Linked DNA regions of Kluyveromyces lactis. The protein of the gene in region 3 interacts with the protein of the main gene of each other region in a pairwise test. Links are inferred from orthologs where the notes say so. Each region holds a gene or a part of one and is shown on either strand. Other genes may lie near its edges.

What was found.
Region 1: the proteins of ORC5 (region 3) and ORC6 interact in binary tests that used the Saccharomyces cerevisiae proteins (3 or more experiments, as listed by UniProt). The link is inferred for Kluyveromyces lactis from reciprocal best matches to the Saccharomyces cerevisiae genes ORC5 and ORC6.
Region 2: the proteins of ORC5 (region 3) and SUM1 interact in a two-hybrid assay, tested with the Saccharomyces cerevisiae proteins (2 studies listed by BioGRID). The link is inferred for Kluyveromyces lactis from reciprocal best matches to the Saccharomyces cerevisiae genes ORC5 and SUM1.
Region 4: the proteins of ORC5 (region 3) and RRM3 interact in a two-hybrid assay, tested with the Saccharomyces cerevisiae proteins (2 studies listed by BioGRID). The link is inferred for Kluyveromyces lactis from reciprocal best matches to the Saccharomyces cerevisiae genes ORC5 and RRM3.

What each region holds. Positions count from the first base shown.
Region 1 is NC_006042.1:2,241,968-2,249,775, reverse strand, and holds ORC6 (origin recognition complex subunit 6), read left to right. Parts: upstream 1-1,859; coding exon 1,860-3,110; downstream 3,111-7,808. Other genes in the region: histone methyltransferase SET1, read right to left, coding at 1-1,515; NMA111 (Nma111p), read left to right, coding at 3,370-6,327; MRP35 (mitochondrial 54S ribosomal protein bL35m), read right to left, coding at 6,550-6,837; protein channel TOM70, read right to left, coding at 7,508-7,808.
Region 2 is NC_006039.1:1,282,315-1,291,145, forward strand, and holds SUM1 (Sum1p), read left to right. Parts: upstream 1-1,836; coding exon 1,837-4,692; downstream 4,693-8,831. Other genes in the region: 2-dehydropantoate 2-reductase PAN5, read left to right, coding at 1-1,104; RNA-binding RNA processing protein RPP1, read left to right, coding at 5,134-5,991; KLLA0_C14740g (uncharacterized protein), read left to right, coding at 6,512-7,072; GIC2 (Gic2p), read left to right, coding at 7,544-8,650. UniProt on the Saccharomyces cerevisiae protein: DNA-binding protein that specifically binds the regulatory region of middle sporulation genes (MSE). Required for the repression of middle sporulation genes during vegetative growth. Represses expression via the recruitment of histone deacetylase HST1.
Region 3 is NC_006039.1:231,593-239,706, forward strand, and holds ORC5 (origin recognition complex subunit 5), read left to right. Parts: upstream 1-4,449; coding exon 4,450-5,871; downstream 5,872-8,114. Other genes in the region: POL2 (DNA polymerase epsilon catalytic subunit), read left to right, coding at 1-4,239; U5 snRNP complex subunit LIN1, read left to right, coding at 6,063-7,040; ribosome biosynthesis protein LTO1, read right to left, coding at 7,103-7,597; copper metallochaperone ATX1, read right to left, coding at 7,997-8,114. UniProt on the Saccharomyces cerevisiae protein: Component of the origin recognition complex (ORC) that binds origins of replication. It has a role in both chromosomal replication and mating type transcriptional silencing. Binds to the ARS consensus sequence (ACS) of origins of replication.
Region 4 is NC_006040.1:1,145,601-1,154,245, forward strand, and holds RRM3 (DNA helicase), read left to right. Parts: upstream 1-2,843; coding exon 2,844-4,967; downstream 4,968-8,645. Other genes in the region: SVF1 (Svf1p), read right to left, coding at 834-2,045; KLLA0_D13376g (alpha-mannosyltransferase), read left to right, coding at 5,258-7,249; actin cytoskeleton-regulatory complex protein PAN1, read left to right, coding at 7,771-8,645. UniProt on the Saccharomyces cerevisiae protein: 5' to 3' DNA replicative helicase recruited to paused replisomes to promote fork progression throughout nonhistone protein-DNA complexes, naturally occurring impediments that are encountered in each S phase where replication forks pauses.

The DNA.
Region 1 (7,808 bases), on a different chromosome or scaffold from region 3:
CTTCTGCCTTTCTACAACTTCCGGGTAGTTAGCAGGATTTAGCGTATCAAATATAATTGGACCTACAAGCCTTCTCAAGATATCACGCTTAATGATATTATGCAAATCTTTGAGAATTTGTTTTGTGGAGGCTTCTAATAGCTCTTCCGTGCTTGAGTACTCTATCTTTCGAGGTTTATTGATATCTCTTTGGTTAGTGATATTTGATTGAAGTCTCCTCTTTGGTTCAATGAAAGTAAATTCTATTTGTATGGGAGAGTGAGTCCTATGCGAATTTATGACCAAGGCACCTGATTCGTACTCTAAACATGCTTTTGCATTTTCCAGATCATGAAAAACAATATATACGCCAGTGTAGTGATCAATAATTTTGGCCCAATTGTACTTACGAAGTTGATATCTGAAATCTGCTGCATTGAACCTATGATAAAACGTAATCTTTGCAGGAACAAACAAAACTGGTCTGTTGTTCACAACTTGAGTTAAATCGTATGGCACTCCTCTTATTACTTGAGGTTTCTGCCCGGATGATTTCTCTGCAATGGCCCGTTTCGCTTTATTCACTTCTGTCACTCTGGCTGCGTTCTGTTTGATTAGTTTGTCCTTTATTGAATTTAACACTGTATTTTGGTTTAAAATGACATTGAACTTGATACCTGATACTGTGTAAGGTGCGTCTTTGAATTTCTCTGATGCCTTATAAGCAGCTTTATATGGAGCATCAGGTTGAGAAACTGGACCAGTGAATTTTATTAGATAGACGTACAATGGCAATGCACTATTTGGATCCATGAACTGTTCAAAATGCGCTATTTCACCAAATGATTTAAAGTAGTTTTTGATTATTGCTTCAGATAATGCGGCTGCTATTGGTTGTTGGTTAGATGCAGAAGGGTATACTATGATTTCTTTTGGAGGTTCAGGACCAATGTAGAAAGAATCATACGGAATTCGCGAGTTGCGTACCAATGCACTTCTAAGCTTTCTATATCTCTTTTTCGCAGAAATGGACCCAGAGACCGCATCCCCATTCATAGGACGTATTCTCGGATCCACCGAAGTTTGTTCAGGCTGCCTGGCCATGAGTATTGGTTTTTGCTTATCCGATGCAATCAACTCCGTTGTTGTCACATATCCATGCTCAGGAATCTTCTCAGATTTCCATTTCTTGAAGCTGGATTCATTTCGTAGTCGTTTACTTACAATGTCGTAATAATGATATTTTGTATTAAACTCATCGCGATCGTATTTCGCACTCACTACTGGACGCGTTGCGAAGGGATTACGAGGAATCTCGCTGATACCACGCGACTGCGACCGTATTGGACGAGATTCGTTCTCATTATTCCTAAGTTGAGACCCAAACCCCTCGCGGGAGTATCTTCGGTTCCCTGATCCATTCCGTTGGAAGCCCTTGTACCTATTCCCATTTTCTTGATATGCATATCGTCCGGTTTGGTACCGATCATTATTCCCATGAAAATGAGAGTACTGTCTATTATAGTACCCACTCATGAGAACTAAAATATACACACACGCTGGAATAGCAACTTATGCTAGATGAAATACTAGAAGTATTGCCAAAACTGAACTTATAGATGGAGAAGCGAATAATGATACTTTTGATTAATATTCAATTTCATTATTTACCATATTTTGTTTCAATATTGGAGAAAATCGAGAAAATCAGAAAAAGATCAAAAAGCTACATAAAGACTGTTTTTAATATTATGTTAAAAATGGTCCATGGAGATGAGATGAGATATATGTCTTTTCCGGGCCAGTGTAATACAACAAGTGAGTAGATGATCCTATTTTAGTCACTTTAGAGTGCTAAGAATCCGTGGAAATAATTTAAGATGTCTACGCAGCAAGTACGAACGTGTGTAACCGATTTATTAGGGGTCAAAAATGATTCTAATGTTGACTGGCAAGACCAACGGTTAAAGAAAGTGGCTTCTACTACAGCAACATTATACAACGTTTCAGTATCGAAAGTGATGCTGAAGAATTCAGAGGAACTTGCTCGGTGCCATATATGTGCACTGATTGCGTTTCAGAAACTAGCTGAGAAGTATGACAATGACCTACCATATTCTCAGGAGAAGATCCCGCTTCCACCAGACCAAGTATCCAAACTTGTGAATATATTTAAGAGAAACATATGGCCTCATTCGCCGCAAAAGGATACCGAAGGACAATTGCTGAAGTTTGATGATACTGCATCACCATCGGTTAGAAAGTCAGCGGTTAAAAATGCAAGATTCACAGGGATAGATCCGAAGTCGTTACAAGAACAGCTATTCCAGACTCCGTCGAAATCAAGAACTAAAAGTGGTATCCAGCCCTTGAAGAATGTTGATCTTTCACCTAGCAAAGGGAGTAGGTCAAGTGTCCGGAGGAAATTAGTGTTTGAAGCTGATACAGAAAATGGCCTTCCGTTGCCCATATTAGCAACCCCGAAGAATAAGACTGATATGATCAATATACCACAAGTGTTTGGATCAGTTGAGGATGATCCTGAATCTCCATTAAGACAGTCACCCTTTCGTGACTCCCCTTCTAAATACACGCCTTCACCAAGAAAGAAAAGAGGTAAGTATAACGAATGGAACATGCTATACAAAAAATACTATAGACCGTCTACCGCTGAACTGGTGACTCTGTGCAATGAATTTGAACTTCCTGAAGAAGTAACAGCTACCATAATTTCCGAATTCAATAACAACGCTACTTACCTAGCGTATCCTACACAGTTGGTTTGTGGTCTGGTACTTCTTTGCTCGTTCGTTGTCTTCAACCAACAGAGAAATCAGGACAGTACAATCGATAACAAGCTAATGAAGAAGATGGCGGCACAAATGAGAACAACAAATGATGAAGATATCATGGAAGCTATCAAGATCACAAAAGAACTAATAGACGGTGAGAAATGGTACCGAGAACTCCGTGTCAAGTTCGATTATTACGATGGATCGGATTTCGATAACGCTATCGCCGTCAGAATAGGCAGCATGTTACAAGACGAATATGAAGTCGTATCAGAAGAGCAATACTCAAACTGGAAACGAAGAATTATGGTCGACCTCAGTCTAAGAGATGGCACATGAATGGTTTCCTCCGATACCTTTCTTCTCACCGTCCCCATCTTCGCATTTATCATTCAATACGTTTTCATTACCTTTCTAATGAATTTTTCACGTTGACGTTTACCGAAGGGAACGGCAAGATGAAAAAAAAGAAGATAACTAAACATAGAGAGCGCAGATGAGATGAATTGAAGAGAGACATTACCGTCTGTCAGAACTCTGGAGATCGGATTACTCTTCGAATAATCAACTGCGAAGTACGTACCGAGTAACTGGTGAAATGACTGTTGAGTTGAAGCGAAACCTACTCGAATCATCTGTTGAAGACATTGATCTTGAATCCAAGAAACAGAGGGTCGACAATGACGTCGATCAGAACACAAGTAGTGTAGACGAAGATATTGATTATGAAGAAGACTATGATGAAGTGAACGATGTACCTATAGATTCAGGCAACTCTTTATTCAATAACAACGCTAAATGGCAAGAAACTATCTCCAAAGTTGTTAAGTCGGTGGTCTCAATTCATTTCTCGCAAGTCGCACCTTTCGATTCAGAAGCTGCCTTGGTGTCGGAAGCAACAGGTTTCATTGTTGATGCAAAACTCGGTATCATCTTAACAAACAGACACGTTGTGGGTCCAGGTCCATTCATCGGATACGCCATTTTCGACAATCACGAAGAGTGTGATGTCATCCCTATCTATCGCGACCCAGTTCATGATTTTGGGTTCTTGAAGTTTGATCCATCGAAGTTGAAATATATCGAGGTCACTGCACTAGAGTTGAAACCATCTTTGGCCAAGGTTGGTTCTGAAATCCGTGTTGTTGGTAACGATGCTGGTGAAAAATTGAGTATCTTGTCAGGGTTCATCAGTAGACTTGACAGAAATGCACCAGACTATGGTGAGCTAACGTATAATGATTTTAATACTGAATATATTCAAGCTGCTGCTGCTGCATCAGGTGGTTCTTCTGGTTCTCCAGTTATTACTGTAGAGGGGTATGCGGTCGCTTTACAGGCCGGTGGCTCTTCGGAGGCTTCTACAGATTTCTTTTTGCCTCTTGATCGAGTCGTCAGAGCTCTACAATGCGTACAAACGGATAAACCAATCACCAGAGGTACTATCCAAACTCAGTGGGTATTGAAACCATTCGATGAATGTAGAAGACTTGGATTAAGTGAAGATCGTGAGAAGGAAGCTCGTAAGAGGTTCCCGGGTAAAACTGGTTTGCTGGTGGCTGAGGCTATTCTCAGAGAGGGACCAGCTTATAATAAAGTTCAAGAGGGTGACACATTAATTTCTATTAATGGCACACCAATATGTTCATTTATTCAAGTTGATAACATTCTAGATAGCAGTGTAGGAGATGAGATAATCATTGTGGTTCAAAGGGGTTCCAAAGATATTTCCTTCAGATGCACTGTTGGTGACCTGCATATTATTACTCCTTCACGTTATGTCGAGGTGTGTGGTGCTAATTTCCATGAGCTTTCGTACCAAATGGCTAGATGCTATGCGTTACCTGTAAAAGGCGTTTTCGTGGCAAGTGCCACTGGATCGTTCGATTTGGATCCAAAGGAGAAAACTGGATGGGTTATTGATTTTGTAGATAATAAAGAAACACCAACTCTAGACGACTTTATAGAAGTCATGAAAACAATTCCTGACGAAAAAAGAGTAATCGTGAAATTCCATAACTTGACAGATGTTCAAACACAAAGAATAACCAGTGTTTATATTGACCGTCATTGGTGCAGTGAGTTCCGAATCTATACTAGAAATGACAAAACAGGTATTTGGGATTATGAAAAGATCACTGAGAAATTACCACCACTTCCAATAAAACCACAGAAAGCTAAGATTTTAGATCTACCGATTAATGATAATAAAAAACTTGCAAAAATGTCACATAGTCTATGTGTTGTACATTCGGTTATTGCTATCACCATGGACTCCATGGAACCCGAACCCACAAACGGATGTGGTTTAGTACTCGATGCTGAGAAGGGATATGTTATTGTTTCACGTAGTTTTGTTCCTCATGACTGTTTGAACACGTTTGTCTCGTTCGCTGAATCCATTCTTGTACCTGCTAAAGTTGTATTCTTACATCCTACCCAAAATTACGCTATTGTTCAATATGATCCATCTTTAGTTGACGCCCCAGTATGCACACCAGTGCTAGCTAATGAAAGGCTTGAAAGAGGAGACGAAACTAATTTCATTGGTTACATGTACTCAAACACTTTAATCAGTTCCAAGACTAAAGTCAATGGCATCTCTTCTCTGAGTGTTCCTAACGACATCATTCCTAGGTATAGAGCAACCAATCTAGAAGTCATCTCCATTGATTCGAATATAAGCACCAAATGTAAATCAGGAATATTAGCGGCAGATGATGGTACAGTGAGAGCAATCTGGTTATCCTGCATGGGTAACAAGGAAAAACTGTATTTAATGGGTTTAGACGTAGTGGATATCAAAGAAGTTGTAGATATTCTCAGGGCTGGTAAGAATCCTAAGGTTTCTATTGTGGACGCAGGATTTGATTCCATCTCATTATTGCAGGCTAGAATCAGAGGTGTTCCTGAAGAATGGATTAAGATGATGGAAGAAGAATCAGAAAACAGATTACAATTCATCAGTGTCACCAGAAACTCCTATACAACAATAAAGGAAAGGCTCGAGCCTGGTGATATTATCTTATCAGTTAATGGGAAACTGGTAAAAAGAATGAGGGATATTGGTGGTGTCGTGGGGACTGATGACGATACGGATATCGAATCTGAGTTGTTATTCAAGGTTGTAAGAGATGCGAAGGTTATCGATTTGAAAATAAAAACTGTACAAATTGAAGAAACCACTAGAATTGTCGTATTCGCAGGTTGCGTACTACAAGCTCCTCATCATGCCGTGCGTCAAGTAAAAACGTCTATTCCTAGTGAAGTATATGCGGTTTCTCGTGGTACATCTTCTTTGGCGTTACAGTACGGAATAGAAGTGACCAACTTTATCACACACGTCAATGACCAATCAACACCTGATTTGGATACATTCTTGAAGGTTGTTAAAGAAATCCCAGATAATACATACTGCAAGTTACGCTTAATGACATTTGACGATGTTCCGTTTGCCATTTCCTTAAAGACAAACTATCACTACTTCCCAACGGTAGAATTAAGAAAGAATCCAAAAACAGGTAGTTGGATCGAGAATGATATCTCGGAGACTTAATTTGACTATATATATGATTAATCATTTTTTACCGTTGTTTGCAAATTGTATATAGGTATTTATTAATGATAATTATCCATTATAGTAACCCGCTGATTTTTCATGACATGCTTTACTGAAAATCATGGTAAGAAATGGTGTGTCATTCATTATGGGGATGCCATTGTTATATGTACAGGATTGAAATCGAAACGATATCTTATTTTAATTGCCTTTCATCTCTTAATGGTATGGAAGCAATCTCTTTAAACGATGCATATGTGTGGAGTCTGCTAATGACCTGCCAGATAATGATTTAAGGGAGTTCCTACTCCATCCAGCATTACCATGATTTCTTCCAGCCTTGCCCCTCTTGAAGCTATTGGCTGTTTTTCTCCATCTTTTTGCGGCACCTTTGTGTGTTTTCATCAAGTTTCTGGTGAGGATGAGCGATGAAACATTAGTTTTAGATCCCAGAAGTCCAGTTCTAGCGGAAAAGTTCATCATCGAACCAAAGATAGAAGATAGCATATTTGAAGTAGTTCGCTGGTGGGGTAAATCCTGCTATAGTCCGTTAACAATGAAGTACTTGAATTGTAGCTCACTTTCACTCAGTACCTTGCCATAATCTCACAAGAAACTTTTATTACATACACTTCTTTCAGAGAAAACAAAAAATGTCATTTATGTTGAAACGTATGTAGTGATATACTATCGAAGTGTTTAAAATTACAATTTGATTAAATTGTGAGATGGGGGAGATACATGTATATACAGAAAGACGTATTTGTTTCTAGCAAAATGGTAGAAGATGATGTTTTTGAACCAGGGGTATTTAGGAGCACATATTTTGCAATGAGCTGTTATTGAAAAGCGTTGTTCTCGTATTCTTGTTCTTCTGTGTTTCTTTTTGTCTTGTTTTTGTGAAGAATTGATAACTATTTCTTATTCTTCACGTTGTAATGTTGAGATCTTGTCGTTTACGATTAACACAGTTCACGCTGCTTACGAGTCATAAATAACTTGGGTGAAATGCTACAACTTTTTGTTTGTAAAATCATAACTTTCTTGGTAATTCATTCGTTTAGATGTTGCATGGTATGTTGCCATTATGGTCATTAAGGTGAGACAAAAACAATGAGCTATTGTAGCTTTACTCATATTGAAATGAATTAAATTCATTCGTGAATATCATGCTAATTTACGCGAGACCTTGAGCACGGTAGGCTGCAATAGCTTCGTCGATCTTACCCTTAATGAATGGATCAGCTCTGATCTTTTTCTGGACCTTGGTAGCCTCAGCGAAAGTAGTAGCTTGTAGTTTTTCATCGAAAGATCTTGAGAGATCGGCAGCATCTTCGAACAATTGAATGGCATCATCAATTTCTTCTTGTTGCAATTTTAGTTGAGCAAGACCGATCTTGGCTTGTTCGGATCTTGGATCGATCTTACAAGCTTCTTCAAATAATTCGGAAGCTTCAACGAAGTTTTCAACGGTTGGG
Region 2 (8,831 bases), about 1.0 Mb from region 3:
GGACAGTCGCCGATTTATATTTTAGGGTTTGGTGCCATTGGCAGTTTACTTGGTGTTCATCTGCAAAAGTATGGAGGTAGAAAAGTTATTCCAATATTCAGATCTTTGGACAGACTCAACGAATTCAAGAAACTTGATTGCAAGATTACAATCAAACCTTTGTTCGATGCGAGTTTATCTCCCTTAACAGAGCAATTTCAAAGTGCGACGTGCCCCGGCATCTTCCAAGGCAAAATCGATAATTTGATCGTCACTTGTAAGACATATCAAACGGCTGAGGCATTGAAAATGTTTCTGCCGTACCTTCACAACGACACTAACATCATCATGATTCAAAACGGACTCGGTGTCGCTGAAGTGTTGAAGGAACAAGTCTTCACAGGAAGCGACTTACAATCAAATTTGTTCCAAGGTGTCATTGGCCATGGTATTTTCCAAGATAAAGAGATTAAGAATCAGTACAATCATGCAGGGTTTGTTGATTGCAAGGTCTCGAAATTACCCGAAAATGATGAAAATATTATAGAAACGTTAGACCAATTGAATGAATGGAAGCAAAATGATCTGGTTAAAGCTTTGCTAACATTGGACCAATCGTTGGCTGTCATCCATATGACGTACCAGGAACTTTTGTTGGGACAATTAGAGAAGTTCCTAGTCAATTGCTGTATCAACTCTGTCACTTCAATTATAGACTGCATGAATGGAGAATTAGCCAATTGTTCAGAACCAATCTTCACTTCGATCATCGAAGAGGCTCTTCATGTATTCCAAATCGCATATAAACCGTTATTCGATTATCCAGAGACCTTCAGAAATACTGAAAGTGGGAATCTACCAGAACTAGACGTCACTGGCAGATTGAATTTAGAAAGAACACTGAAAAATACCATTTATATGGGATGTATAGTGAATGGAAGTAACTCATCTTCAATGAGACAGGACGTCCTACATTTAAGAGAAACAGAAATTGATTTTATTAACGGCTACATCGTGACGTTGTGCAAAAAATTCTCACTACCAGAATCTGACGCTAAAGTCAACAAAACCATACAGCAACTTGTGAAATTGAGATTGAAATTGAACACGTCGAGAAATATATAGACATTAAGAAAATGTGTATCATATATATCATATAGTGTAAAAATAAACCTTCATGAGCTGATCACTTTCCCTTTCTTGCGCTCTCAGTATTTTGACATCTTTATTTGACAATAAATTCTTTTTCTTTTTTACATTTATTACCCCGGACAGTTACCATTTGGAGTGTAAATTTCAATTGAAAAACCCACTTTAACAGCAGCAAAATAAGGTACGACATTATTTTGCGACTTTCACTTGCAATATATTAGGTTTATATACCTGAACATGTATGTTTATATATTTAAGATTATCCAAAAATTGCCGCAAAGATCATCCATATCTCGAGAATCTCGTAAACGATACAAAAGTCCGCTCATCATATTGATAACCATTGCTCGCACATCAAAAGAAATCAAATTCAACTTTAACACATTCAGTATTCCGCCATCTTTTCCTTACAGTAATTTTTTTTTTTGGCAGCATTTTCTGAGTTTTTTTTCTACTTGATTATTATTGATTGTTTTTTTCCATTTGCACTAAGGTGAAAACGACGAAAATTGGAAAAGTGAAAGAAAAAAAAAAGCGAAATTGAAATTCAATAAATAGTTAAACATCGTTATTGTCGAGAAACAGAACGACAGTGGTGCTTTACAGGGTACTAGTGACTATTTAACGGGTGTAGATCGGATTGAATCTGTTGTTATAGGTTTTGAGTCAGAACAGACGAAACCTGCTTGCTGAATCAGAGACAGTATGGATTCTGATACTGCGATGACAGGCCATGACGATAATAATGGTGAAATTGGAATTGGTGAGAATGGTGTTTCCAGACAAGAGAAGGATAGTTCTGTAGTAGATAAAAAGGACAAGAATGGTATTTCTAGTGTGCAAGCGGGTTTAGAAAGTCAACGAGGTACAATTCGAGAGCTTGAGAAAAAAGTTTCTGAAATTGAGTCTATTTTACCTGAAACTGACGAAATAATTCAAAAGAGTATTGAGTCAGTTGTGGTGACTTTGAAGAACTTATCGCATAACCAGCAAGTTTTGGAAACGAAATTCGAGGACCTTTTAAAGAACCAGGTGAATTCAGATGCGGCCATAAACGATCTATCCGTGGAGATCATCAAGATCAACAGGTTGTTATCCGATAGGTTAACGATGTCCGCGACATCAGGTGCATCGTCAGGGACGATGGGAACTGCTGCGTATGGATCACCCGCATATATGTCATCTGCAAGCGTCTCTCCTCCTCATAGGGGACCTGGTAGACCACCTAAGAAGAACACTTCGATATTGTCCAATGGCGATAAAAAGGCGAAATTGCCATTCCCAAGCGATCATATATCAAAATCAAAACGTCTTTTCCTGGACCCAAGTAAAGAAAAGACGGAGTCCAACTCAGGTTATGATGCAGATGGGGTTGGCAACAGTCGATCTCGTAGTTCTGCTAACGTCAAGCAAGAGACTCCTCAGGAACCAAAGAAACGTAGAGGTAGACCTTCAAAGAAAAGCACATGGGAAGCTCAACTCACTTCTTCACAAAGAAAGACAAATGCTGCAGATAATGATACCAAGGAAAGGCAAAGCTCTAGCTCTAGACGCAAATCTCAAAGATTGAAAAGTGGTTCGCGCCAATATGATGAACAATCGGATCTTTCATCATCGTTTTCCGGTATGTCTGATAATGAAGGGCAAGATGATGAGGGCGATGTCACAGACGATCAGAAACAGTTGGCTAATGATATGCATGACTCTCGTTCCAGAAAACAGAAGGAGCTCGAAATGAAAAGAGATGAAAGAGAAAGGATGCTAGTCACCATGAAATATAGCGATCGTAACGTTACCAGGAATTTCATGGAACTCAACAAAGATCTTTTCATGGCCATGAAACAAGAAGAACGGAAGAAAAGAATGACAGCGGTGCCTTTCAGCGTTCCAGTACCGTTGGGTAAATATCAACTTTCAAGTAAACATTTGGAAGAGTTATCAAAAGTACCTTTCTCCCTGTCGCAAACAGCGGAGAATTCTTCTGGTGCTCAATCACCTTCGTCTAATCCTCCAGACTCTGCTCGCTCTGTGACACCACAAACAATTATATCAGCATATAACAATTTGGAACAACCAGGCAATGTAGGCTCAGTTTCTACGGCAAGTGCGGATGATGTTAACGGTCAAAAATCGTCGTTACTGAATTCTGAGCACAAGGATCTGAACGGCTCTGTGAAAAGAACATCTTCGGACATCGGTGATCGATCTCAAATGTCCAACGAAGCAGAGGGACCACGTAAGGTCAGAATCTTGTCTATCTTGAATGATGATGCATCTACTGGTGTAAAAACAGAAGAGAATGGCTCGGCTAGACCTCATCTGTTAGACATGCCAAATTCGACTCCTCAAGGATCTGCAGACGCATTACCAAGTTCTCAATTATCTGTTGATTCGACAGAAAACTCGCAGGATAACTTTTCCGTCACCACTTTACAATCTGGTGGTGAATCACCAAATAAGAAAAGGCATCTAACATTGCATGATCGTCGAAAGATGAGCAGGATGATTCCGATGTTACCAGAAAAGAAAGATAAAAGGGGAAGACCAAGCTCTAACAATCAATCCCAAGAAAATGCAGCGTCTTTGTTAATGTCATCCCCTGTGGAACTTTACTGCCGTGAAGGTTTTTTTTATAGAAAAGGTTCTACAATTCCAATCACAGCGGGAGAGTATTTGGATTTGAAGTTCAGACACAAAGAAGACGAATTGATTAAATTAACAATGCATGAAGAAGATTACGCCGAGTTAACAAGACAGGATAGAATCAACGCGTATTTCCTTAAACCAGACGTTGAGATTGAAACCTCAATGGCTTGTCAAGTTTTGTCCAATGTCATATTAACCGAGAGATACGTCAATTCATTAGAATATTTCCTGATGGAATTCCGTTGGGAGAATAGATTGGTAAGTTTAGGTCTAAAGCTAAGAGAATCTAAGAGAACTTGGCAAAGACGGAAAGCCTTATTTGCATTATTTGAGTTTTGGAGAGACAAGTCGAAAGATAAGAGAGGTTTCCACAATTATACATTGTTGCATGCAATCAAAGAAATGGAAAATTACAGAGTCTTCATCAATAGGTCGGTTTCATGGTTTTACAACCACATTACCCTTTTAAAAATGATTCTTTTTGATTTATGTGATAATACGAATACTCATTGGAGAGAATGGATGTTCGCCAGAGGCACTGAACTACCGCTTGTTGGTAAAAATGGCGTCGATGTCATGAATATTAATAGAGAAATCGATAATATTTTGGTTCTTGATTTCCTAGAAGATGGTAGCAAAAATTCAAACAAGAAATCAAGTTCTATTCCATACAAAGAAAACAGTGAAGGCCCTCTAGAACAGCCTTATGTTACGAATGATGTTCCCGCAGACAAGGGAACAAAGGAATTACACACTGAGCATGTCCAACAACAGTCAGAAACCCCAGTTCCGGAACTGGCTGGAAATAGAACTGAAGAAAATACAAACCATGCTACTGGGGCGGTAGCTGTAAATCAAGATCAGCACTTACCTTCTTTACCGAAAGATTCAGAAGATGTGAACTCTACGCAATGATATTTATGCACATAGATCATAATGGTTCCTTTTTGGGCGCTGTTTTTCATCAAACCTATTTTAACGGACATTTTATCACTTTATGGAACAAATAGTAAGGTATGTACTCTATAAATAAACTGACAATTATTCTATTTAGATAATATTGTTCTCATACTCAAAAACATTGTGACATGGCCGATTGGATGAAGTTTAAAGTTGTATTTTTCAACAGTTGGGCTTTCAAGTAAGGATTGTACTTCATAGTATGTTATAATATCTTCAAGTATAATTTTTTCGGAAAAGACATTACAATAATCTACCAAAAAAAAAATCTAGTAAATAATGAAACATGAGCATGAGATGAGGTATGCTGGACACTCAAATGGAAACAAAAGTTTCTGTTGAATCACTTGTAAATACTCCTTCCAAATTTGCAAAGCAAAATAGCTATTTGAAAGGATGTTAGTTGATTTAAACGTTCCTTGGCCACAGAAGGATTTTGCAACACCGCCTTCCACGAAGGAGATTAAAACGCTGCACAAGACTCTAGCGACATTGCATACACTAGGGTACACTCACATAGCTTTAAATTTCACAGTAAACCAACAGGATAAATTCCCAAAATCAATCAATGATATGAATCCTATCGATCTATCGCATTTTGATGAACTAGTGAAATCTACGGGATTAAAGCTATATACAAGAATCACAATTATTATAGATGACCTTTCAAAAGGCCAGCCGTTGACAAAGATATCGCAAGCTTTCGATATTGTGGCAGCCCTTCCAGTCAGTGAAAAGGCTGTTACTCTCGTAACGTCTAGCTTGGATGTTGATGTGCTATCATTTTACTACGACAAAAGGCTTCCTACACTTTTGAAACATCACATGATGGGGGGTTGCATTAAGAGAGGAGTCAAAGTAGAAATTGTTTATGCTAACGCTCTTCGAGATATCAGAACACGTAGGCAGTTCGTATCTAACGTGAAGAGTGTGATCAGAACTTGCAGGAACAGAGGAATCGTGGTCAGTAGTGGAGCAACCAGCCCACTAGAATGTCGTAATGTCATTGGAGTTACAAGCATTTTGAACTTTATTGGGCTTCCGAATGACAAATCTCGTAAATCCATGGGCGAGCTTGCTAGTTTGGTACTTCTAAATGGTAGATTAAGAAATAAGAGCTATAAGCAAGTCATTTGTATTGGTAACGAAGATGTAGTCAATGAAGATTTTACACAGAATTCATCGTTCAAAATAGTCAAAAGGAAAAACCCAGATACACTGGAAAGTGATGACTCGAAAAGAACAAAAAGCTGAATTACCATGAACTTAATTTTCATACTGCACTTCTACTGTTGAATCTCTCGAAGCATTCAATAGTACCGATAATACGATATATAATAGATTTTATATTTATATAAGGAAAATAGTACAATAAGCATTAAGCAAAAGATGGATACAAGGTAAATTTAGGAAATTATGGGTAAGAGTAATGATATCGGTGATTTCAATCCACTTTGAGTTCATCTTTAACATGTCCAATTTTACGTTTAGTTTCCAAAGTCAAACTTACTATCAAGTTCTAAACCCAAAGTTATTTTTCATTCTAATATCTGTAAAAAGAGCAGGTTACTGTTACCCGCAACACATACATGGTGTAAATCCGATCAAAAGCTCAGCGGCTATTGAAAAGAGTATAAAAGTATCCAGCTTGGAGACTTTACGATTTTCTTCTTCGAATCATAAACCGCCTTACATAGAAACGGTCTATTATATAAAAAACACAGACAGTACGTAAGGCAGTAACTTGGGAAAACAAGTGCCACACAAAGTTAAAATGGGCGAGGTGAAGAGTTACTTACGAAAATGGAGACGCTCTTCCATTCTTAAAAGAAGCAGTTTGAAGGATAAACGGAAAGAAAATTGGGAACAACGTATAGAGAAGTCCTTGAGCGAATGCGATGACATTAAAAACTTATTGGCTGGTCGTCCAACGACACCTGATATTGCAAGAACGAATAATAGTACATTCCTTTCCAAGCGCTCTAGGGCTTTTGTTACAGAACCGTTATCGAACCAAGAATTGGATAAAATCAAATATATGAATTTTGCAATGGAGAGAGATTATAGAGCAGGTACTAGGCCAGTGATACCGAGAATGGATTCAACCAACAGACGAAAATTGAGCGTAAATCTCACCCCGACATCGATTTCAGCAGATGACTCCGAGAATAATGCGATAGTGAAAGACTTTTCTGAGTTCATTGAAATTTCTTTCAATAGTTTGAGCATTTCCGATGAATACACACCCCAACCAAGCTTTTCCAAAGAGTCCGAGGAACCTAGAACCGCCAGTTCTAAGAGTCTAGAAAGTCTATGGAGTAAAAATGTGAAATAGTCGTAATTGGTAACCATGTTGGGTCAACTAATGACTTATCTAACCCACGAAAAAAAGCCGTAGAAACTTGAGAAAAAATAACGGCCGCCAAAAGAAAAAAAGAAGACATGAAACCCAAGAAAAAAGAAAAAACCGGATTGGCGATGGTGAATTAGAGAGGTTAGAAAACATTAATTTTCGATCAACGAAACGTATCTGCATTCCTGAAGAGGGTGCGAAAATGAAAAATCGTGTTTTTACCTAATATAGGAATTCCTAAATTAACTGAATCCAGTAGTAGTTAACCATAGATGCGAAAAATGTCAGAAAATTGTGAAACCTAGGAATGCATGAAACATTACCACTGTGGACGCGGCCGATATATGTATATATAAACGGATAAACATGATCCAGGGTACAAAGGCCATGATTTGAATCATCAGAAACCAGGCATTGCCGAATAAAACAACCAACAGATCTGGGCCAATACTTATGATGAACGTACCTCAGATCAAGTCGATCTGGCTCGATGAAGACGATGAAACAGAAAAATTATATGGTTTACAAGCTCACCAGCTTCTGGATTCTGACGATGATGATGAATTGGGCGTTGTAATGATCAATAGTGATAAACCTGTCTTAAGTAATAGGAAAAACATTAATCTTCCTCCATTGCCGCCAAATGCGTATGATAAACAATCTGGAAAGAAATCTTTCAAGAAGAAGAAGAACAGCCTCTTAAAACTGTTTCAAAATAAATCAAGTAAAGAAGAACCTCCTAAGTTAAAAATTTCTGTCCCATTTGGATTTAATCACATCTCACATGCAGATTCTAAGGCAGGATTTGAAATGCCTACTGCAGATTCACCACCACCATCTAACAGTCACTTACAGGATATACCGGAAAATACCAAATTTCCGACAAACTCAACAATCAATTCCCCAACGCAAATGACTAAAGCTTTCGTAACAGATGCAATTCCATATGCTAAACACCATCTGGTTTCTAGAGGGTCATCTACAAAACGTTCTTCGGTTGGATCCAGTACGTACTCGAACCAAAGAGTGACATCAACTTCAACAATGGCTACCTCCTTGCTAAACGATTCGCATATGCGTTCCATTTCAAAATTAACTACCCTAGAGAAGACACATTTGAAGCATAAATATTCTCAATCAGATGCCAGTGAAGTAGATGTCGATTTCCTAAAAAACTATCAGTTCCCAACTTTGCTAGAAGAACAATCAATCCTCCAGGTATCAACACCTGAAACGGGAGACAAGAAAATAGACAAATTCCAATGGGAAACACCAGTAAATTCTGCGGATCTTTTAGAGACTATGCTTTTGGATGACTTGAAATCAGTACCAAAAAAATCAATTACACCAAAGCACTCATTGAAAAGAAACTCTGATCCAATTCTGACACCAATTTTAAGGCCATCAGAATACTTAGACTCTCCAAGAACCAGAAGGTCAGTTGATGATGTTTTATTATGCTATCTACAGCCTAGTGATGCTGGATCGTCATTGGATGAAAGCTCTAGTGAGTTTTCCTACGCTAGAAATTCAAACATTTACTATAAATCTATTCTATGATCTTCACCCGTGGCCAGGGCCATTCCATTCACTTTCACAATTGTTCTCAAGAAAATATACCCATCTTTCACTCGTTATTGCATTTACTGAAATCAGCTCTCTTTTTGATACAGATTAACCCTTCGTCGTTCATTTATTAATAATTAATCCCCAATCTGCATGTGTACAGATATACACTCAT
Region 3 (8,114 bases):
AAAATCAAACCAGATGACGTACATTCGAAGGATGAGGCTAAAAAAATGATTGTCCTGTATGATTCTCTTCAATTAGCGCACAAAGTCATTCTTAACTCATTTTACGGCTATGTGATGAGAAAGGGTTCGCGATGGTACTCGATGGAAATGGCTGGTATTACATGTTTGACAGGTGCAAACATTATTCAAATGGCCAGATCCGTGGTTGAAAGAATTGGAAGACCGTTAGAATTAGACACCGATGGTATTTGGTGTATCCTTCCTAAGAGTTTTCCGGAAAATTTTGAAATCAAGCTGCGCAACGGCAAGAAACTATTTCTTTCGTATCCTTGTTCGATGCTTAACTATAAAGTTCATCAAAAATACACTAATCATCAATATCAAGACCTCGTCGACCCTATGAAGTTCAAATACCAAACAAAAAGTGATAATTCCATTTTCTTTGAAGTCGATGGACCATATAAAGCAATGATACTGCCAACTTCCAAAGAAGAAGGTAAAGGTATCAAGAAGAGATATGCTGTGTTCAACGAAGATGGTTCATTGGCTGAACTAAAAGGTTTCGAACTAAAAAGAAGAGGTGAACTACAATTAATCAAAAATTTCCAGAGTGATATTTTCAAGTTATTCCTGGAAGGAACAACCTTAGAGTCATGTTACGCTGCAGTAGCAACAGTTGCTAATAGATGGCTTGATGTATTAGATTCTAAGGGTGCAATGCTCGAAACTGAAGATCTTATTGAACTGATTTGTGAGAATAAAAGTATGTCAAAAACATTAAAGGAGTATCAGGGACAAAAGTCAACTTCCATTACCACCGCAAGAAGGCTCGGTGAATTTTTGGGGGAAGCAATGGTTAAAGACGCAGGCTTACAGTGTAAGTTTATTATCAGTTCCAAACCACATAATGCACCGGTGACAGAAAGGGCTATTCCTGTTGCTATATTTTCTTCCGATCTTCATGTTAAGCGCACATTTTTAAGGAGATGGTTATTGGACTCAAGTCTCAATGACTTTGATCCAAGGGCTATTATCGATTGGGACTATTATAGAGAAAGATTGGCTTCTGTTGTTCAAAAAATTATCACAATACCGGCAGCATTACAAAACATTAAAAACCCTGTACCCCGTGTTGAACATCCTGATTGGTTAAGAAAGAAAATTGCTGTTAGTGAAGATAAATTCAAACAGACTTCCTTGAATCGTTTCTTCAAATCTACCAAAGCTCCACCTGAAGTCAAAGATATAGAAGACTCTTTTGATGAACATTCCGCGAATAAATCACGTATCGCTAAGGTCACGTACAAGAGAAAGAGCAAAAGACGTAATGGGGATACAGCACTAGAAGAAGAGTCTTTGCTGCTACCCTCTGAAATGCCTCCGATGTTAGATGATTATGTGGGCTGGTTACAATATCAAAAAACCAAATGGAAGATCCAGCATATTGATCGAAAGAAAAGAGAAAAGCTATTTGGTAAAACTTCACGAGCATCTGATCGGTCTGCTTTGGGCAATTTGATAAGAAAGCACGTTGAATCATATGCAGATAAAAGCTGGGAAATTTTACAATGTAAACCGTCCATCGATTTAGGTGTCGTAGAAATTTATGCTTTAATCGATAGGAAAATCCAATTGCTGAAAGTAAACATTCCCAAAACTGTACTCATGAACTTCAAGACGGAGAATTTCCCCTCGGGAGGGATTGAAAACTGTATCGTCGAAAAGTCCAACGCGGAACTGCCTAACGTGAAAGGCATCAACAATGAAAGCAGTAGTCAATTGTTTAAACTGACAATGTCAGAAGATACCTATTTCAACGAAGTTAATAAAGCATCAAGCGTATTGAACAACGAGAATGTTTTGGGAATATACGAGAGCTCAATTTCTTCGAATGAAAGAGTCATAATGCGGCTAGGGACGTGTATTCAATTCAGCTCTGAAAAAATGGGTGCGCTAGGAAAAGGTTTACAGAACGGTTTTCATATGAAGAATTTACATCCTGTTGAAGCAGATAGATATCTCCAAAGGTTTGACCTTGATATTGCCTACCTTCTACATTTTGTAACAGATATCGGCTATGAATTCTATTTCTTGTATAAAGCATGGGAAGATGTGGTAGAAATATTTGTGCTGAAACCAAGCACTCATGCTCAAGAAGTTTCTAATAAAGCTATAGAATCTCTTTACAACGAGATATACGAGAAAAAGTTCGAAAAGCTCGATAAATACTATGACTTAATCAAGATAAACAAGAACGTTTCGTTTAACGTGAATGATTATACTGAACTAAAGCGTTTACTGAAGGACCTTTCAAAGATGCTGCAAAATATTAAGGAAGAAAAAGGATCTCACACAATGGTGATTCTACAATCTCCATATACCCATAGAGTTGCTAAATTGTTGCAGCCTTTGAATGCCTTCCCTGTTGTTGAAATAGCTACTGCTGAAACACATTTGCCAGCTTTGAACTGGCAGGGACAATTAATGAGGAAAGCGGTCAATCACATATTGTCTCTTGGTTCTTGGATCTCAAATTTGATTACTCTCTCAAAATACAGCAACATTCCAATATGTAACCTCAAAGTCGATAATCTCGGATACATTATCGATTTGATGTACGCTCGCCAGTTGAAAAAGAACAACATCGTTCTATGGTGGAATGATAAATCGCCGTTGCCTGACCACGGTGGCGTTGAAAGAGATTTTGACCCACGGAAAGCGGAGCTCATGACTGATTTGGTGTTCCCTATTATGAATAACCCTGATATCTATGATGACGTTATCTTCGAAATTAGTGTCTATAACTCTGTTGTGAACACTGTTTTGAGCAGCACCATGTTGAACGAGGCTGAAGGTACAGACCTTGCCCAAAATTCGACATCTAAGGAAGAATCCTTCGGTTTTGTTGAAGATTCTTTCTCTTCTTCGGCCTTGTCAGTGCTTCGCGCACTGTTGAAAGAGCTTTGGGATGATGCCTTAGGTGATAATATCACGGCTGACTCATTAGTACACGCATTTATAGGATGGGTGTATAACCCTGACGCGAAATTATTCGATTATGCTTTGAGATATCACATCCATACTCTCACTCAAAAGGCCGTGTTACAGTTGATCAATGAATTTAAGCTGGCAGGATCATCTCTCATCTTCGCAGACAGAAACAAACTGTTAATCAAAACTCAGAAGCGTTCCGTTGAGAATTCTTACGCCTATGGGCAGTATCTCATGAAAGCGATCAGATCTAAACCAATGTTTGCCTATCTAGACTTGAAAATTGATAGATATTGGGATGTCCTGATTTGGATGGATAAGTATAATTATGGTGGTAGAGCATGTCTACAGATTGAAGATAAAGAAGTTCAGAGTTTCCAGGCTTATTCTCATTGGCATATAAAGGATTTCTTACCTGCAATTTATCAGCAAGAGTTTGATGATTGGTTAGTAGTCATACTGGATAGTATGGTTAAGACAAAGGAAGCCTATCATGAGCGAAATGCATCCACACAAAGATTAACCCAATTACCAAAGAATACACTGGCTGATAGTGACGTAGATAGTCAAACTGACTCTCTAGGCGGTTTTACCCATAATTTTTCAAAAGCTCTCATCAAAAGAGCAGAGAAACTTTACAAGAACCAACAGGAATATATTCTTGATCCTAACTTCGGCAAGGATTATCTATCTCCCACAATTCCTGGGTCGCATCTAGTTGTGAAAAATCCGCTTCTTGAGTTGGTCAAATACTTATCACATATTTTATCACTTTCCAGTAATCATTTATTAGAAGGAAGGGCGCTAAGGAAAGAACTCCTAAAGACATTTGAAATACGCGAATTCGACAGATTAGCTGAATTCAAGGATCCAAGTACATCTTTTGTGATCCCTAGCTTCATATGTGAGCATTGTTCTTATATATCAGATATTGATATTTGCAGAGAAAGTATGGAACGAGTCTTCATATGCCAGAGCTGCAACAGATCCTTGAATAAAAATCTCATTGAAGAGCATGTGATCGAACGACTTCAAGCCCAAGTTGCATCGTTTATTACCCAAGATGTTAAGTGCAATAAATGTCATAAGATCAAAGAGGATGCAATGTCACCTTATTGTCCATGTTCAGGAAAATGGGAACTTGCCGTATCTAAGGAATCTTTCATGGCACAGTTACAAATTTTCAAGAACTTGGCGGAAAGCTTTGACTTTAGAACATTGAAAGAAACTTTGAATGATTTCTTATAGGTTCAAGTCCCTGGCATCTGTTGTATTATCTTTTAGTCTGCTGATGTGTTTACATTTAACATTTATGAGTGTTTATGTGTTAAAATAGATCTGAAAATAAAAAATATATATACACATAAAGGAAATTGTTCTGAACTTAGCATGGTTGAATTCTTCCCACCTGAATGAAGACGCACTATGTGTTATTTACTGCGAATCAAGTGACCCAGAATGGTACGACCTGATGTTAGATATAGAGAAGAACAACTAGATTTTTTGGAAGCGTTTGTCGATGCCGATCCAAAACTGAGCCCGCCAATCTTGTTCATAGAAGGGCCGCATGGAAGTGGTAAGACACATACCCTCAAGAAGTTTTTTGCTTGCAATGAAGAAATCATGAACATTTTACTACCAGCGAAAGATCTGATATATAGCAAATCCACCTGTCAGCGGTTGGCTACATGTCTGCGTCAATTGCTACTGAAACAATTTCCTAGTGTGGAAACCACTGATCTTGATCCATTTGAAGCCGAGGACGTATATCTTTTGCAGAAATTTATCAATAAATTGTTTATCCGATTTAATCACTTGGTAGAACGCGTTAACCTTTATGTTATACTCGATGGGCTGGATGATAATTCACAGGTGAACTTGGAAACACCTACGCAACTCATGGCATTACCTGGATCTATTCTTCCACAAGCGATGATTCAACTTCGGTTAATAATCTCGTTCTCCAAATCCTCATTCTTGTCCAATTACTCAACGTTCAAGGTTCCCACGATCTTCTTCCCCAAATATAAACCACTGGAGATTGAATATATTGTATCACAAACACCAGGTTTCTCGGATGACCCGCTGTTATTGGAAAAAATGGATGAGATAGGATGCGGAAATACAGAACAATTCAGGAGTGAAATCTTCGAAAAATATATCCATTTCCTGATAGAATCATTAATTGTATATACAGGTTATGACCCCACTGCACTGATAGACATAATGAGAATTAAATGGAGGTGCTTTGTACGATCTTTAAATCAAGAGAACATTAAAAATACAGTACAGTTATACAAATCTAACCTGGAGCTATTCAATAAACCTAACGAAAGACTAATACCACAAACCAGCCGTTCGGATCAAAATTCACTAAGTGGTACCGGGTCTGTTGGTTATTCAAGCCATTCTCTTTGTTTCATGGCAAAATATCTTCTAATAGCCGCATATTTGGCATCATATTTGAATCATCGGTACGACTCTAAAGTCTTCTCCAAGAAGAGTCATCTAAGGGGGGGTAGATCATCTTATGGGAGAAGAAGCAAACCAGCGAATAACCCGAGATACCTTCAACCATCAGGCTTTTCTCTTGAGAGAATGCTGGCAATTTTCCAATCGATATACCCAGTCAGAGTTTCGAAGGAATTGTCTCCAGATTTCTTTCAAAGAGATGTTCATATGAAAGCAAATGTGGAAGTCTACGAAAACGTGTCCGAATTGATTACTTCTCAACTTCTTACCGGTCTGAACATGCACAAATTGGGGTATCTTCACGAAAGACTTAAGTTTAAAGTTAACGTCACTTGGGATTACATATTACTAGTGGCTGGCAGTGTTGATTTTGATATTTCAGAATATTTCAGTGATGTTGTGGAATAAACTCGGCATTTGTAGTAGTTATATGATTGTTGCATGCCGTTCTTTTTTTTTCGATCTCATTTTACTCTATGGAATGCTTCTTCAAATTTAGGTATTTTTTATAGACATTGAAATTGATACGTAGAGAGAAACAACCATAGATTCAGATATTTGACATACCAGCAAGCAGAAAGCAGCAGCTTTCATTGAGTATGAATGTAAATAAGGGATCATCTGATCAAAATGATAGATCTGTAATTACCAAATCTAAGGATAAGCTTCAGGTCAAAAAGACTGACTTCAACGCAGATAGCTATGACGATCACTTCGAGGAATCAGACTACCAGGACATTTCTTGCAGCGACGACAGTAGCGATAATGAAGAAGAAATAGAAGATTTCGTACGAAGAGGTCAAACCGAAACCGATGAAATCTTTGATGGAAATTCCTCAGAGATTTCAGAATCTGACAGCGCTGTTGCTGATGATTCAGTATCAGAAGAAGAAATAAATGGTAGTAACGTACAAATAGAAGCCTTCAACATGGAAGAAGAACTGAAAAATGGGACCGTAGACAAGGTAGGGAATGCTACGGGAAAAACTATAAATGATGATTTTGAAAATGAGGACCAATGGATCCAAGACTTTTCTTCGAAGGAGTCAATTAAAAGGGCAAGAGAAGCTCATGAAAATAGCCAAACTCTACAACGGAAGAAGAGGGCTAGGATGTTATACAGACTAGAAGAAGTTCTCGAACAATTGTACTATTTTGTACCGAGAGGGAAGACAATTCAAGAAGCATTGATTTTGCTTCAACAACTACGGAAAAGTTTACCAAAAGAACATAAGGAACGTACAAAATACATTGCGAACGCAATACAGATCATTCTAACTTTAGTAAATGTGCTGGAACAGAAGGGTATAGACAATCCCATGCAATTGCAGAAAGAAGGAATAAGGGAGTTATATGATGAAGAAAATCTCATGGGATCAACAATTGACGACGTTGAAAGTAAAAACTGGGTCTTCAAATGGTTTGCAGACTTTGAAACGGCTCATGAATCATTTTCAAACTACGAAATGCAAACCTGGAAGGAAAAATACTTCAACAGTAGTGTTGTGGTAAAGAGAAAATGTGACACTGATGAAACTGACCATTGGTATCATGTTGATTGTATTTACTTTATGTAATTAAGCGTACCAGATGACTAACGCCAAAAAAAATTGCCAGATCTGAGTACAACCGCTCTAGGTTACCAATCCGTGGTTTGGTCTTGCATCATAGTTTCATTATTGCTCCCCGAATCGTCTTCCGTGTAACCATGAAGTTTTCCAGCTATCTCTCTTGACAAACTTTCTATCTTTTCTAACGTTAATCTATCAGATGAAGAATCAATTGATGAAATGTTTTTGTGTAAACTCATTAGCACCAACCTAAATTTGTTCCGTATCTTGAATATACTTTTCTCATATATGGCCACATTTTCCTGATTATTATCCATCTGGATTTCTTCAATAAGGTCTTTTATTACCTTCGCATTCTTCTGTAAAGCTGCGTCGTCGAATTTTTGTATCAGCACGTCACTTATCCCATATATGATTCCTAAAAGTTGAAACCTTTGAAACCCCACCTGCAACCCATACTGTTTACCTTCAAGTAGATTATGTTTAAGATTTTCATTCCTGCCTTCCTCGTACCCTTCTTGATAGAACTCTTGTTCCAAATTCAACAACTCATCAAAATCCATGTCTTGAATTTGTCAGGTCTATCTAATTGCAATGGAGCTCCGATATCCGTCTCGAATATGAACTTTATTGGAACCATTCAAAATTGTGGCAGACAACCCAAGACCTGACTTGCACGCTTCCTCAAAATGGGTCATGAACTTGTCGAAGTTTTCATTTTGTTCACCTGTCTTTCTTACTAATATGGGAAACAAAAAACCCTGAAACCAGTACACAAAGTGATGTATAAGAATGGACATTGGATAAACACACGACTACTATTACAACTGTAAATGTAAATGTAACGTGAGCTAAGTTCACCGCACTCCTAACAATCCTCAACGTGAAAAATATTATTTCAAATAAAAGGCTTCAGTGATAAAATTATATAAACAGTTATGTGCATACCAAAAGCTAAACTATTAATTTAACGTAGTGCCACTGATGACTTCCTTACCAGTTTTCTTGATCTTTTCAAGAACAGTATCATATGGCAAAGAAGTGTAAACATCAACGGTTTGTTTTTCCAACGAGATTTCA
Region 4 (8,645 bases), on a different chromosome or scaffold from region 3:
TGCGTAGAACTCTATTCTCGGCTTATTCCTCCTTGTAGCAATTACCAGCTTCGCTGAGACTAATGGCCGAGATACCGTTTAATGAATGTGCTATCTATTGATACAAACCTCGTGCGCACGTGACTTGTGCACTTTTCCGGTCCTTTTTTCCCTCACATAAGGTGAGGCCTTTTTGGCCCTTTTCCAGTGCACTAAAAGTGGAACTCCAGATGGTAAGACTCCAGATGGGGACCTCGAGAAGGGGACCTCGAGAAGGGGACCTCGAGAAGGGGACCTCGAGAAGGGGACCTCCAGACGAAGAACTCCAGACGAGGAACTCCAGATTGATCTCGAGATGAAAACTCCAGACAGAGAGGCCTCAAAAAACGGGACTCCAGTTTCGCTATTGTACGTTGCGGCATATATTCACGCATATTCGGATTAATTAAGTCAATCGGGTATTTCAAGCAAACAAAGCTATTCCACTAAAGTGAGCGAAAAAAGAGGGAAATATATTACTTTAAAACTAACTAACTAGGTGAGTAAATACGGTATTTCTATAGTACATGCACGCGCTCACGGAATACTGTCGAAAAGAATTTGGGGGGAAAAGTAATAGTGGTTTGCAAATATTAGTGATATGATTATTGTTATTATTATAATTATTATCGGTGTTAGTATTATCTCTTTATCAAAGTAGTAGGTAGAACAGTGCTGGAGGAGAGACGTTGGGGTTAATCAACGTGTGTTGGTATCTAATAATAAAGGATGAGAAAGAAAAGAATAGAAAAATAAGAGTGATATATTAAAACGTTAAAAATTGATGAAGGGAAGCACTTTTTATGAGTAAGGTTCTAGTTTTCATCGTATGCAGATTCTTCCACTTCAGATGATTCTGAAATGAAAGTAATTTCGCACCACCCGAAACCTTTCGATTCCTGGTCTTTAATAGTTAATTCGAAGTCGTCGAAAAACTGGTAGATATACGGTTTGGTACCAGCGACACCAGAAACGATGTTCTTGACAAAAGTTGGAATCTCAGCCATGACGTCGACTCTTTCCACCAGGTTATCCAATTTACCCTTGACGATAGTGTTGAATGGATCAGCAGATTCAACGTCATCGTCTTTGATGTCGGCATTGATACCGTTAAAGGAGACAGAGATTTCCTTTGGTACAGGCCATCCGACAGAATCGACTTCAGGGTCGATATATTCAGCATCGTTATCTACTGTCACGGATAAAATGTTCTTGGTGTCACATACAATCCCGATATTTACCGTAGTGTTGGCGTATGATTTAGGCGTGGTGAATTCCATAAGCACGGCAGTGTAGTCCTCTGATTGGAAGTTTAAAAAGGTCCAAGATTTGGCAGCATGATGTGGTTTCATACCTTGCATAGCGAAAACGAACATGGAATAATGTTTCTTTTCTTCTGAAAACTGTAAATCGATCTTGACATTAGTTTCCTCATTCTTAGCAGCAATCTTACCAGATATGTGGTTTCTTGGCCAGAAAACATGTCTCATACTACCCCAAGGTTGAGTAACATCGTCACCGTAGTAAGTGGATGGATCTTCACCGACTTTGACACCGTCAACTGCTCTACGGATGGTGAAATCCACTTCGACGTTTTCGTCCACGGTAGACTTGAATTGCACTTCGGTACCTTCTTCGTTCATTACAATAGATAGATTGTCAGCGTAGAAATTAGTTCCCTCTATTCTGAAATTCTCTAACTTCACCGATGTCCAAATTTGATCATCTGTATTTTCCTTGTGGTAAATCCTGAAAGTAAACTGAGCAGTAGTATGCAATCCAATGATGTTGGAATGGATCACTTGAGCGAACCCAGTGTATCCAGTTTCCAGATCAGTAAAGTAAAAAGTTGATGTCTCAACGTTCGTGTAGTCTGGATTCCTCCACTCGAAATCCTTCGTACTAGTAACATGGAATGGCTGCTTACCCTTAACTCTTTCAGTACATGGATGAATGTACTCTTGGCCATATTCTGGCTCAGCAATCCCTGTGACGGCACTAATACCACCTTGAATCCACTTCAACATTTCGATAGTGAATAAATTTGTAGGCTTAACTTTCGATGCAAACTCGAGATTTCTTACAGTAAAGCTATGCTTGATACTGTGTGCGTAGATGTGCGATGTTCAAATGACAAAGAAATAACTCGCTATTTTCTATGACTTACAGCAATCTAATAAATCAAACAAACCGATGAGAAGGTTTGAGACTGAACTTACTCTGTAATTCACTTATTAGAATCAATGAAATAGAAAAGAAATAGAACGCAAACCCGTACAATAACTATAATCAATGACTACTGGACTGGTTCTGATGCGCTGATAACGACTGTTTTTGGTATTTGTCTCGCCCCCCTCGTTTACTGTTTGTTGTTTGTTGTTCTCTAAGTTTCGTTTCTTAAGTGAGATGAGTTTTGTTGATTTTTTTTCTTTTTCGTATGGGCGAAACGAGCTAGTCACGTGATCTGATGTTTTACGAGGAGCTTTGACCCTATTAGCACCAATAAAAAGCATTTGGGTTCCGTACCATCACTTGGTGGAATAGATCTCAGATGGGGGTCAGTAAACAATGCTGATGGGCCCTTGTAAGCACGGCATCAGTGCTTGGCAAATAATAGCAACTGTTACCCGGATAATACACGCATTTCCAAAATGTCAACAAACCAAAATCACCGAGAAACACGTAAGAAACTGATACATGATCCATCGATGAAGCAGGAAAAATACCCTATTAGCGCTCTATCTCTGGTCCATACCTAGTTTATACCTGCTTGAATCAATAGGACGAGCTGCGGTAGCCTTTTTACCAGTTTTTAATTGGATAAAATGCTGAATAAGCTTAATGCTAATAAGAAGAATAAGAAGAAAGATGGACAGAGCACCTTGAATATGTTCTTCAAAGTGAAGAATAAGCCCGCATTAGAATCATCTTCAAGTTTTAATTCACACTTCACTGAAAAAACTGTTTCTCCTCCAGTGAAAGCATTGAGAACACAGTCTGTGCTTTCGTCTTTGCATTCCCAAGGGTCGTTTGAAGAAGAATCAAATGATGATTTCTACAGTCTGCTACGAGAAAAGAAACCAGTGAAAAACTTTAAGCCATCATCTCAAACGTTCCTATCATCGTCACAGTTTCAATGTCAGTCCGGTAGTTCCTTTTCGTCCCAAACTTCAACAGTATCGGGTTACTTTTCTTCCACAACTGCAACTGCAACTGCAACTGCAACTGCAACTGAATCTAGTTGGCAAAAACCTAAGCTGGAAAGAACATTATCAGGAGTCAAGAGAACGTATTCTGATGTATCAGATGGTTCACAAAGTTCTTCATCTTCAAATGCGTTATCTCTTTCCTCAGTAAAGCGCGTAAAGCCGATTCCAAGACAATCCATCGTTTCTCATACCAGTTCCAAGAGCTCCAAATCTAGCAGCATTAACGGAAGAATTGAACTAACTGCAGAGCAGAGGAAAGTAATAGAATATGTGTGCAAAGATAGATTGAATGTGTTCTATACAGGTAGCGCAGGTACAGGTAAGTCCGTTATATTGAGAACCATGATCTCGACGCTTAATGCAAAATATGGGAAAGATGCTGTAGCGGTCACTGCTTCCACAGGTCTTGCGGCGGTTAATATTGGAGGTATTACAATTAACAAATTCTCTGGTGTAGGTATTGGCCAAGGTGATGCTAATAGACTTATCAATATGGTCAAAAGAAACAAGACTAGTCTTAACAGATGGAAGAGAACTAAAGTTTTGATTGTGGATGAAATTTCAATGATTGATGGCTACTTCCTTGATAAACTGGATGCAATTGGAAGAGGTTTATTGAATAGAACTAAACCTTTTGGTGGTATTCAGTTGGTCTTCACAGGTGATTTTTTCCAGCTTCCACCTGTTCCAGATAGAGATTCAAATAAGGCTGGTCCAATCTTTTGCTTTGAGAGTAACGTATGGAAATATGCTATCCACAAAACCATACTATTACAACAGGTGTTCAGGCAGACTGATAATGAATTGATTGATCTTTTGAACGGTATTAGAATGGGTAACACATCTGGCGACACCATTAAACTAATTAAAAAATTTGAAGCACCAGTGGAATACGACGATGGCATTGAACCAACCGAACTTTACCCAACGAGACGTGAAGTGGAACTGTCCAATAAACGTAGGTTAGAGAGGTTGCCAGGTTATGAAATCCTTTACAAGGCAGTAGATTTTATCCCTCCTAATATCAATTCTAATATTCTTAACAACGTTATGGCAGAAAAAGAAATCAAACTGAAGGAGGATGCCCAAGTAATGATGTTGAAAAACATCGATGATACCTTAGTCAATGGTTCCTTAGGAAGAGTCCTCTTTTTCTGTACTTCGGCATTGTTCTTGGAAGCATCCAAGATATTCCCTGATCTAAGCGATCCGGAAGTTGTACAAGATATGAGATGCGTTTGCAGAGCCATTGGTGTGCCACCATCTGGTAGATCTTCGGACTTACAACGGGATATCAATCTTAGACCAACAAACAGGCAAGAAGTTCTTAACTTCGTATTGGATAAAGCAAGTAAAATCGTAAATGGGCCCGGTATTCTATCGACAATCATGTTCCCTGTTGTGAAATTCATAGACAAACAAGACATCAGAGGATACCAAATTAAACTAGTTGAACCAGAAGAATTCTCTGTCGGAGAAACTGAGAAGGATTCTGCTGTCAGGAAACAATTACCTTTAATGCTATGTTGGGCAATTTCCATCCACAAATCCCAGGGTCAAACTATCGATAGACTAAAAGTAGACCTGAAACGGACCTTTGAATCAGGTCAAGTTTATGTGGCATTATCAAGAGCTGTCTCGAAGGATAGACTACAAATAACAAACTTTGATCCTCATAAAATTAAGGTTAATGAAAAGGTAAAGGACTTTTACCAAAACTTGCATAAACTAAAGACATGAATAGCTTAACAACCTCAAAAAAAAATTTAGAGTATGAATGAGCGCACATTATTTCATGTCATGGAGGAGATGTCCCAGTTGGGGCTGTCCTTAAAAGCTAAACTTAAATTATTCATCAAATCGCCGAACATTCATGGCATATACGCATAATGATAAATAAAGCATATATATATCAAAAAAGAAAAGGCATAAGGCAGTTATTTGTTGATATACTGTAACGATACACATTCGGGTCCTATTATATCGATGATAGGGGTCTGTGATGTTTTTTTTTATCTTTTGTTTATTCAATGTCAGTTAACAAGCCAAATAATCTAAAATATGTAATGAATAAACAAAGTAAATCAAATTGTCCGATGAGGCTGAGACTCTATCTGCACTCAAAACAAGAAAGAAATCCGAGAGACTATGCTTGTGGCCCTGAAGCGATGAAATTTCGTTGGAGAAGGATATTTAGCATCAAGGTGCTTGGGATTGTAACTACGTTGCTGTTTATATCTTTTCTATTACCAAGCGGAGCAGTACCAAATTCAACTGTTCCACATTTTGAAGGTAAAAGAGCACTAATTTACTCTCCATTTTATAGACTCGCAAGCTCGCTTAACCTCGGAAAATGGCTTTCGTTGGCTCTACATGCTACTAATAAGTATCATAAGATTGGTTTGGACTGGCCAACGCTACCCCTAGAGCAGAAATGCCGTTTTTATTTCGAATCAACATTGGAAATAAACCCAACATGGAATAATGATCATATTAAAGACTTCCATAACGACAATAATTTGGATGACCCCTTGGCAGAGCTTATGTTAGAACGGATAAGGATGTATGATTCTTGTTTCATCAGTGGAGGTTTATCCACATCCAAGGTGTTCAAGAGATCAGTCGTGAAGCCAAACGATCTTGAATCGAGATTATTCCCTTTCCTCTCAAAGAAGACACCATTCAGACATTTGTGGCCTAAAATGATACATGTCAATCCTTGGACGTTGATTCCTTCTTTTAGTAACCCATTGTTAGAAGGTAAAGACACCTGGAAAATGGATGATAATTATTCATTCTTCTATAATTGGAATAATTTTGCAGAGGGGAAGGGAATTGTACTGACATTGGGGCTGAGGCACGGTGACCAGTTCAAGAAGTTACTTCTCACTTTGGAGAATTTAAATAATACACTTCCAATACAAGTTATTCACAACGGATCTGAGCTTACTGAAGCCTTCATTTACGACATTCATTCATTCTTAAACGCAAAAAAATTATCACAGCAGGTTTATTTTGTCAATATTGAACCGTTAATCGATGCTTCATTCGTTGGTCAATACGTCCATTATTTCATAAATAAATGGATGGCATTATTGTTCAATACCTTTTCTGAATGTATTCTACTGGATGCGGACTCTGTGTCATTTGCCAGTCTTGAATCCTATTTTGATTTCAAAGGTTATCAGGACACTGGCATGCTGTTATTCAGAGACAGAAATATTATAGGCGAGAAAACTTTTATTTATTGTACAGATACATTAAAGAAGCTTTTCCCGTCTGTAGAAGAAACCCATTTCATGAGCCATAGATCTACTTTCCCCCTCGAACTTGTGGAGAATGATAATATCAATATCGATACTCTATCTATGGAAGAGCAGATATACTATAAGTTCTTCCATAACTTACAACTACATCACATAGATAGTGGATTAGTTGTAGTTGATCGAGTTAAAAAATTATCTAGTCTACTCATCTCAACTATGATGAATATCGATGGTAAGCTTCAAAGATGCGTTTACGGCGATAAAGAAATATTTTGGCTTGGCCAATTGCTCGCCGGAGAGAAATATTCTATATACCCAACTGAAGGTTCCATCATGGGTACCGTTAAAAACAAGCCTGATGATACTTTTGAAATATGTGGCACCCAAATGGCTCACGTCAGCACAGAAGGTACTTTACTATGGTCCAACGGTGGGTTGAAGAAGTGTAAGGTACAAGACTGTGCCGTGGCTGATTTCGACCACGACCCTGACTATTTCCAAGAGAAATACGGCAACCCTGTTGCCTTACAGCAAATGTATGATTCTTCATTATCTATCAGTGGTTATATCACGCCGAATGTTGGGCAATATCCCTGGGAAAAAATCAAGGAGTGTCATCAGTACACTTATTGTGCCACAGCAAAAGAAAACGTAGGAACCATAGTCAAATTCGATACCGATACTATTTCACGTTTACAATCTGTTTCGGATATCTGGAATTCAAACGTCAAACTTGATGATAACATGGAAATATAGTAGTGTCTTCATCTCCAACGCCATTAACTTGATCTTTTTTTTTCCTGTTCTTACCAACCCCCCTGGCCTTTTGATATTTTGATCATAGTGTAACTGTCATGGTGTAGTAGAGGTATTCATTAAAACACTTCCTCTGTCACCATCCTGTACTTACGTAGTTTAACTTAAACTTTTAAACAGATGTCTAAAGTGACATCAGCCGTATTATGTACCCTATACCCGCACAACTTGCTCCAGAATCATGCGAAGATAGCTCACGAAGTTTCCCCGAGGTGTAATCTGCTTTATAGACGCAGTATCACTCTCGGACTCGAGTGTTCTTGTAGTATCCGTCCACTGACACTGACGCTTCGATATTCTTCGTATTTTGTGATCATCGAATAGGAGACTTTGACGAAATTCTTGGTTGAAATGATTCCCCATTCAAAGGGTTTAAAGACAACTTTGATCTTGATTTAGGAGGTGCGAATCGCAGTATTGCTCAGCGAGTTCAAGGGTCAACCAACCATTTACTAATTGCTATGTACAACCAGTACCAGCAGCAGCCCCAGCAGCCGCAGCAATTTGGTGGGCAACAGCAATTCAATGCCCAACCTCAGTCAACTGGTTATGGGAATTTTTATCAACAACAGGTCCCTACTCAGGGCCAGCAGCAGCAATTCAGTGGATTTCAAACCTTTAGCAACGCTGGCGCTTTGAATCAACAGCCTACAGGTTTCAGTCAACAAACACAGGCGCAGCCACAACAGCCACAGCAACAACAACCACAATCACAACCACAACAAGGCATGCAACAACCATTCGGTAATCAGCAACAACAAATGCCACTGACCCAACAATTGACGGGATTCAATTCTATGATGCCGCAAACATCCTTTGGTCAGCCTCAACAACAAATGCCAATGAACACGTCTTTCAATCAAGGGATGAGCACTACTGCTGTCAATGCACCAACAGGTCCGTTACAGCCTCAACAGACTGGCTTCTATTCTCAGCAGCAGCCTTTGGAACCTTTGAAGCCAACCGCCACCGGTTTCATCAATTCCTTCGCGAATACTGGTGTTGACAACACTTTGAAGATTCCTGCCATTAGATTGTCTTTCATTACCACTCAGGATCAGGCCAAATTTGAGAAGTTGTTTAGATCGGTTGTCACTCCTGGTTCCAACACTATAACTGGTGACCAGTGCAGAAATATCTTGGTCAAATCTGGCTTACAGCCTCATCAATTGGCCAAAATTTGGACTCTCTCAGATACTAATAAGGCTGGTGTGCTTCTCTTCCCAGAATTTGCATTGGCAATGTATCTAGTCAATTCTGTATTGCAAGGTGATTCCATTCCTTATGAGTTGGATTCGAGAACCAAGGCGGAGGTTTCCAGTTTTGTTGATGCTAT